2 linked regions of the Solanum lycopersicum genome follow. The protein of the gene in region 1 interacts with the protein of each later gene in a biochemical or structural test. Links are inferred from orthologs where the notes say so. Each region holds a gene or a part of one and is shown on either strand. Other genes may lie near its edges. The genes, in order: protein NAP1 and protein PIR.

Region 1 (3,827 bases):
AAGTACACAACACACATATATATCTCCGTAATTTAGCACAAGATATTTATCAATAAAACAAAGGGTTTTTTTTTCTTTTTGTTCCAAAAATAAGCATTAGTACCGCAAGTTAGACACGAGAACTCCTTTTGACATTGTAAATGAATAATTTAACTTCTCTACAAGAATGCGGTATTCAGGAGCAAAGACCTCTCCAATACGAGGGCTGACAAAATTCAGGTCTTCATGCAGACCCTTCAAGGGTGGATCGTAGGAATCAACAAACTGGATTAACCTGGAAAAGCAAAACAAGAAAGAAATCAGCGGAACTGCTTATATTTCTTTTTTATATAGAATCACTTTCATTCAGAGTAGAGTGATCAGCATACACAAAATACAGAATGTCTCATCATAATTGACTATTGTGAACTAACAAAATTTATCAGGTTATCTATGTCATGTACAACATTTAAGTTACACCATAATAAAATGTTGACAAGCATGTGTCAATCCATGTAGAGTCTTTTCACTTCCTTTAAAGCATCTCTTGTTGGTTTTGTCCATTTGACCCATAAAACACATAAAGGTATGGCAATCAGATCTTTTTCCCTCTCTATTTTGTGGGCTGGGGTGGGGGTGGGGGTGGGGGTGGGGTGGGGGTGGGGGGGATTAGTCGATGTGAAATAGCATTTCAAATTTTTAAGATGTTCCTTTGTGCTTTCCTGCACTTCCAACCCTTTCTCTTGGAATTGTAGGCATCATCTTTTTGAACCCCAAAAGATTTAAAATATGCACTACATCTCTGTTGTCAAAGCACAATGCAAAAACAAACGGTTAACCATTTCCAATTGGGGAACTCCTTCCATCAAGTTATAGTTAGGCATGCTTCATGAGGGGCAGTCCACTCAAAATAGGCAACTCTAGATGGGACTTCAGTTTTCATAGCATTTGTCACAAGTAATATTGTGACTTTACTGTCATCTCGGAGAGCATTCTGTAGCCATATTTCACAGTATACATTCCTTCATGCTTCCACTATGCCACCCCTATGTCTGACCCATCTCCTACCCATTCTTTTTTTAAAAAATGGTAAATGTGTTCTTGCCGAACTTGCTAATTAGTAGGATTAGACTATCTATTTTCCCAATCAACCAGCTTCCTTCTGAAGTTGACACTCCAGTCGTTATTTCGGCACAGACTGTATAATTTATTCATACTGAAAAGACTGAAAGTTCCTCCCTCAGAGGTGTATGCCCAATCCTTGCATACTACCAGAATCCAATATTCCGACTACCTCCCAATCCCATGAAATGTCCAGAACTCAACCCATAAATCTGATATGTTTCCATGAACCAAATAAAGATATGATGAAGACTTACAGCACACAAGCATCGTGTTCTTGATTGTACTTCCACAGCCACTGAAAAAGCGCCTCAACTTCCTCAACCCTGGGCACCTTTTATTCTTAGATTGCACGACACTGTTCCATCTTTAATATCAACTGGTTCTTTCCCAAAAGAGTGGCAGATATGTCAACCAGTTGCCGGAGAAATAAGCTAGGAGCTAATAAAAGATTGTTGTGGAGACAGAACCCTTCAGTGCATTTAGGTTCATATGATATGTATGTCCACTCTGTCCCAACAAACCTCACAAACTGATCCCCTGGAATTATCACATCAAGTCAAAGAACACGCGTACCATTTGAGCTTATGCTCTGTCTCATATAGCTTTACTCTCCTCTAGACCAATGTTGGGTTTGGCTAAGGTGTTATATGCATCCCTTTTTCAAAAGTTAGAACTCTACATGTCATTCTCTTTAACCCGCTCTCTTAAGCCCTCCCTTTTTCATGGTCAGCACATGGAACCCCATTAAGGATTCAGCATCCTGGTTGAAGGTTGCCACACCATCGTACTGCGAGGGTTTGTCTCCGATACCATAGTTGTTGCAGCTTAATCCCATAGCACATGTCGTCCACTTTGTCCCAACAAATCTCACGGATTTGTTTCTTGAATTATGCCACATCAAGTCCAAAACCCATGTACAATGTGAACCTGTGATATGTCTTATATAAGACTTCACTTTCCCCTCCCCTACCAATATGAGATTCGCCTAAGGTGGCATACACACATCCTTCTTCAAAAGCTTGCCAACCTACAACCCTGCCAATCCTTCTCCTTAATCCACCCTCATCAGCCTGCCGTCCCGTTGTGGGCGCCACACAAACCTGACATCATGATAAACTTCTAGATCTGATCATGCTTTCTCAAGGGCAACATAATTTCCCGGAGCCCTCTGACAACAACCAGAGAAACTACAATCCACCAAGAGATTACCATATATCATAAAGCTGGATGTAGCTAATTATTCTTTCCACCAGCTCAACCACCATTTCATACTTTTGACATTATGATCAATTAATTAAAACTACTGTTGTCTGGCTAAGAAGAGCATTCCTTTCCATCGCAGGTATTAAGCAGAAAAACAAGGCTTTACTAAATGGATCAAATATATATGTTAGAAAAGAAGAGGATCTAAATTTTAATGGACATCTTACTTCATAAAAAATTTAAAATAACAGAAGAGGATCTACAAAATTTGGCTCACTGTATCCACCCTCAATTGCTCAAAGCAAATGGAAAGTCATCGTTGGAAATAGTCTCACCATAAAGACTAAACTTCCCATTGCAGATATCAAGTATAACTCATTTTCTTCACATGCTTGATGTCCTAACCTAGAAGAACCCCATAGATGATACTGATAACCAAGTAAAGAGCCACTCCTTTGTAACCATGAAAACTTGTCCAACCAACGGCATGTTGTTCATCATGTAGACAAAAGGGTGACTTTGAAAAGAATAAGCAGTATATCAAAATGCAAACTATATATCAGATTCATGTAACACAATTACTTCAAGGGGTTCACAGAAAGAGAAATTTTGAAGTTACTTAAATTGAAGCTAAAGATACCAATGCCTTGCCATGAAACACAAATTACTTTAGGGGTCAAAGAAAGAGAAATTTTGAATCTATTTAAAATGAAGCTAAAGAGCCTAAGTCCTTGCCATGTAACACAAATTACTCTAAGGAGTGAAAGAAAGAGAAATATTGAAGTTATTCAAAATTAAGCTAAAGAGACCTATTCAGCCCCCCGCTCAAAAAAAATTTATAAGAAATGAGAATAAGCCTAGATCCATAAGAAGTTTCACCTGTGATAAAAATCGCAGTCCCTATCATTTCTTGCCATGGCATGAAGCAAATTGTATGTTTGCAACATCATTTTCCTTGGTATCTGTGATGGATGATAAAGAGAACAGTTTACGGCGTAGAAGTGTCATCTCAACAATATACAGAGTAGAAAATAATAGATAGAGAATTGTTTGTGTACTTGCCTTTTCTGAAAATATATTTACACGAACAAAAGCACAAAAAAGGTCCATAAACGCATGCAGTATGAGAGAGTTCTGGTGAGGCTGCAGCAAAAGAAACATGTAAATATATCACATACGATTTCGTTATAAGAAGACTCAGCTTACCTATTAGTCAAGACTCAAGACAAAAATTATAAAGGCTATAACAGTCCTTTTTTATTTGAAAAGAGTAAGTTAAGCTATATAAAGTTCCTTTCTTGTGTTAACAACAACTTTAGTTGGAGATAAAAAGTTGATATCATCACTCACCAACAAGGTAATCACTGTACTGCTTAGATCCAATATTAGACGCAAGGCGTGTTCTCGAAATGCCATCAGGTCAAGAAGCATCTGATCAAGAAGAGTGAGCTTGATTATGTGCATATACTATTTATATCAACTTTTGATAACGAAATTATACTTTTTCCAACAAACAAATA
Region 2 (3,827 bases), on another chromosome or scaffold:
AAGTTGCTAGTTTTTTTTAAAACCCAAAGAAACAAGGGAAGTATTTGAACAAAGTGATCATTTTAAAAGAAAATCAATGTAACTGATGATACAAGTTCTTTCATTTTCACGACAACCTCATGTTTGGTGTTAATTCATGAGAAGGTCTTCCTTAAGTTGATTGCAATCAAGAATTTCTTATTTGCATATTTTATTGAAACACTCTTAGTAGCATATTTCTGGGGTAATATCTTTTAAGGAGTTGTATATTCTTGCTCAGTGTATACTGAGTGTGGTCACTCTTTGCTCCAAATTTTTGTTCTGATTTTTCAATTTGAAAGAGTTCTTGAAAAGATAGGAGCTGTTGTGCCCCCCTAAAAAATTGTGTAACCACCAAATCTTAGAGGTAACCCCAACACCCCTTACCCAGAGCATCTAAGGGTGTGGAAAAGGCAAGATCCTGGTTTTGACCTTTGAACTACCAGTCTGCCTGGATGAATGGGCCAAATCTTGGTGGGCCCTTCACGGTGCAAAGGAGAGAACGATGGCCAAGAAGAAATGGTAAAAGCCACAGGTCCCACAAAATCCTATTTAATTGTTTGTTTTTTCTGGGTGCTTGCACTAGAGAAACAATTGAGTATCTCATGAAGCATCAATCATAAATTTTATGTTTATAATGAAGTAGCCTAAATTTGGAATGAGATGAGCCTGAATAGAGCATAATAAATGCGGAGGATTCTCATAGTCCACTAGACTAGTTAGGGATTAAGCTTAGTTGATCGATTGAATGAAGCAGCTTAAAGAAATCTGTTACATGGTGGTTCTCCATTTCCCCACTATTTTGTACTTCTCATAACACCAGGAAGTTCAACGTAACCATCCATTTAATAGAACTTCTTCCTATTTGAAAGTGTTTCATTTGTTTGTCATATTCAATATGCCAGGACATTCACACAAGTTAGTGTGCAGTGGCAAGATACAGATTCAATGAGAGAGGAGTTGGATGATTTACAGGTATATATCTACTTCTCGTGTATGTTTAGGTTTTTGAATAATGTTAACTTGCACGTATTTGTATGTGCTGAACATGAATTGTAACGTACTTGCAGATCTTCTTGAGCACGAGGTGGGCTATTTTGTTGAACTTGCATGTTGAGATGTTCCGTGTCAACAAGTATCCTTCAAATGTTGATTCTCTACCCAGAGGAATGGTGAATCAATGTTGCTGCACTGATTGAATTCTGTTGCATATGAATGTTATGTATTTATGACTGGATGCTCATGACCCTAAGATCTGTCATGATAAATCTTATGTTATTGGTGGCTAATCCAAAGAATAAAGCTCAAATGAAGTAAAAAAACTAAAACCTATCGGAGAAAGGCGGGCCTTTTTAAATTTAGATGCTTGCGCCAACTGATTAACCATTCTTGTATTTGATGCTAGACCTGACCTGCTATCTGATGAAATTAATTCCCTGCACAACATCAGTGCCTCTCCAGCAATTCTCTCAGCCAAGACTAAATATGATGACCATTCTGATGCAGATTGTGAGTCCGATCTTGAAATTGTGTTGCAAACACTACTCAGAAGTGTTATTCCAGAAGCAGAGAGACCACTGGTTTATCAACCTAACTATGACTTCTCCTCTCACTCTAGTAGTTCTCTCACCCATGGAACCAAGTAAGTTCGAACTCTTGCACCCAAGGGTGTTGCAATGAAGTGGTTGTGAACCTTGAGGTTTTGGTTCAAAACTAAGTGGAGACGGAAAACACTAGGTGATTGTTCCCATTTGTCCTCTGGCAGAATTACTTGGTACTTGTTGCTGGTGGGAGGTGGCAGGTATCCCGTGCAATTAGTCGAGGCGTGCGAAAGCTGGCGCGGACACCACGGTCATTAAAAAAAAAAGTAGGTTCGAACTCTCACACAATCACAACCCATGTGATAGTGACTTTGAGGTGGACCAAAATTGTAACCGTTAAGGATTGTAATTTTTCTGGTGTCAACATGTCACTGTTTGAGCATGAATTCTGAACATTATCCAGCATATGGAGCAAAGGTGGCAGCTGCAACTACAACAAAAAAATCAGCATGCAAACAAAGAAAGAAAAAGAGATCAAATAAGGATATAGAGTTGGAGAAATTAAAATTCTTGGTCAATTATGATGAAGTGAAACTCTGAAAGATGGGGTGATAGCACTGGAAGGGGTAGGTTTTTCAAATCCCATTCTAAATGAAGCTACAGATGCTCAAGTGGTATGTGTGGGGTTAGATGAAAGCAATAAAACAAAACATTGAAATTTTTAATCCGCAAGTTGAAAACTGATATACTCTGCCAGTATGCCTTCAAGAAACCAAATGAGGAATGGACATCTAGCTTATCTCAAGTGGGAGATATTGCATGCCCTCAAGATACCAATATTGAGGAATGGACATCTAGCTTTTCACAACAGGTGTTTGGAACTGGATGGATTGGCTGGGCTGAATTACAATCTAGTGGCAGTAGTGGTGGGGAGATAACACTATCGAACAAGAGAAGTTGGAGCTGTATAGGAGAGCAACACGGATCCTACACAATTTGTTATATGCTCGAAAGTGTCCAAGAGTATTTTAGGTGGTGTTGCACAGGGGTTTATGGCCTTCATACAAATCCTCAAAGAGCAAAACTTTGGGATGAGCTTGCCGTAATTATAGGACCATGGAATTATCAGTGGGTGATAGGGGGTGATTATAATGTTTGCAGATATGAGAGTGCATGTTTAAGCTGCACCAGAAGATCAAAGACAATGAGAGGCTTCTCAGAAACAATTGAAGATCTGTGCCCTATAGACATGCCTTTAGAAGGTGCAGCCTTTATCTAGTCTAGGGGTGAAAACACACTTTATCAAGAATAGACAAAATTCTAATTGCTAATGAATGGAGCAACACCTTCTGGAAGGTTAAACAGACGTTCTCAGATCATAAACCCATAATGCTTGAAGGTATTGAGAAATAAACTCCTCATACTTCAAAGTTGAAATTTGGGAACATGTGGCTACAAGTTGATGGGTTTATAGACTAAGTTAAGGTGTTGAAACTGATAGATAGTCTACCCACCTATATTCTGTCCCTATGTCTTATCCCCATGCTTGTGTTGAAACTGATAGATTCAGTTAAAAGGAATTTTTTGTTCTAACTTTGATGAATAGAGTTATCTAGTACCTGTTGTTGGTGGGAGGTGACAGATATCCCATGGAATTAGTTGAGGTGCGCACAAGCATCTGGACACCACAATCAAAAAAAAAAGTTAAAAAGGAATTTTCGTGAAGAAGGCAATAAAACTCACAAATTCCATTTGGTAAAATGGAAAGCAATAACACAACCAAAGTCCCATGGTGGCCTGGGAATCAAAGACCTCACGACCCAGAATGAAAGTATGCTTATGAAATGGCTAATGGAGGTACTCACAGGAGGATCAAACCCTTTGGAAGAAGGTGCTGAAGGAAAACATGGAGGGGTGGAGTCAAAGTTTTTACTGAGTTGAGTAGTCTCCGGCCCCTTATATTCTTTGGTGCACCCGTAGCGTTCCTTGTTGTATAGAAGATTAGGTGGAGTTTGTAGAGAATCATGTTTTTTTTAAGATTCTTTACCTTTTGGTATACCCCTTGTATACAGTCAGTTTTGGCCATGTTTATGTATGAAAATACATTTACTTGATAAAGAAAATGCTAAGAGATCTGATAGCTATAAAAGTGCGATCAGTAACCAGTTTGTGATGTAGCCAACTTGGATTTGTGATGTAGCCAACTTGTATGTCCTGCTAGATTGGCTCAAACAATTGGAACTGAATAGAATCTGTTTGAGAGGATCT

Evidence for each region.
Region 2: the proteins of protein NAP1 (region 1) and protein PIR form a complex in vitro, tested with the Arabidopsis thaliana proteins (2 studies listed by BioGRID). The link is inferred for Solanum lycopersicum from reciprocal best matches to the Arabidopsis thaliana genes GRL and PIR121.

What each region holds. Positions count from the first base shown.
Region 1 is NC_090801.1:54,801,370-54,805,196, forward strand, and holds part of protein NAP1, read right to left. Parts: intron 3,739-3,827; coding exon 3,658-3,738; intron 3,451-3,657; coding exon 3,370-3,450; intron 3,270-3,369; coding exon 3,187-3,269; intron 275-3,186; coding exon 190-274; intron 1-189. UniProt on the Arabidopsis thaliana protein: Involved in regulation of actin and microtubule organization. Part of a WAVE complex that activates the Arp2/3 complex.
Region 2 is NC_090810.1:6,869,606-6,873,432, reverse strand, and holds part of protein PIR, read left to right. Parts: intron 1-923; coding exon 924-993; intron 994-1,088; coding exon 1,089-1,153; coding exon of another isoform or gene 1,154-1,190; intron 1,191-3,827. UniProt on the Arabidopsis thaliana protein: Involved in regulation of actin and microtubule organization. Part of a WAVE complex that activates the ARP2/3 complex. Interacts with the active form of RHO-family GTPases.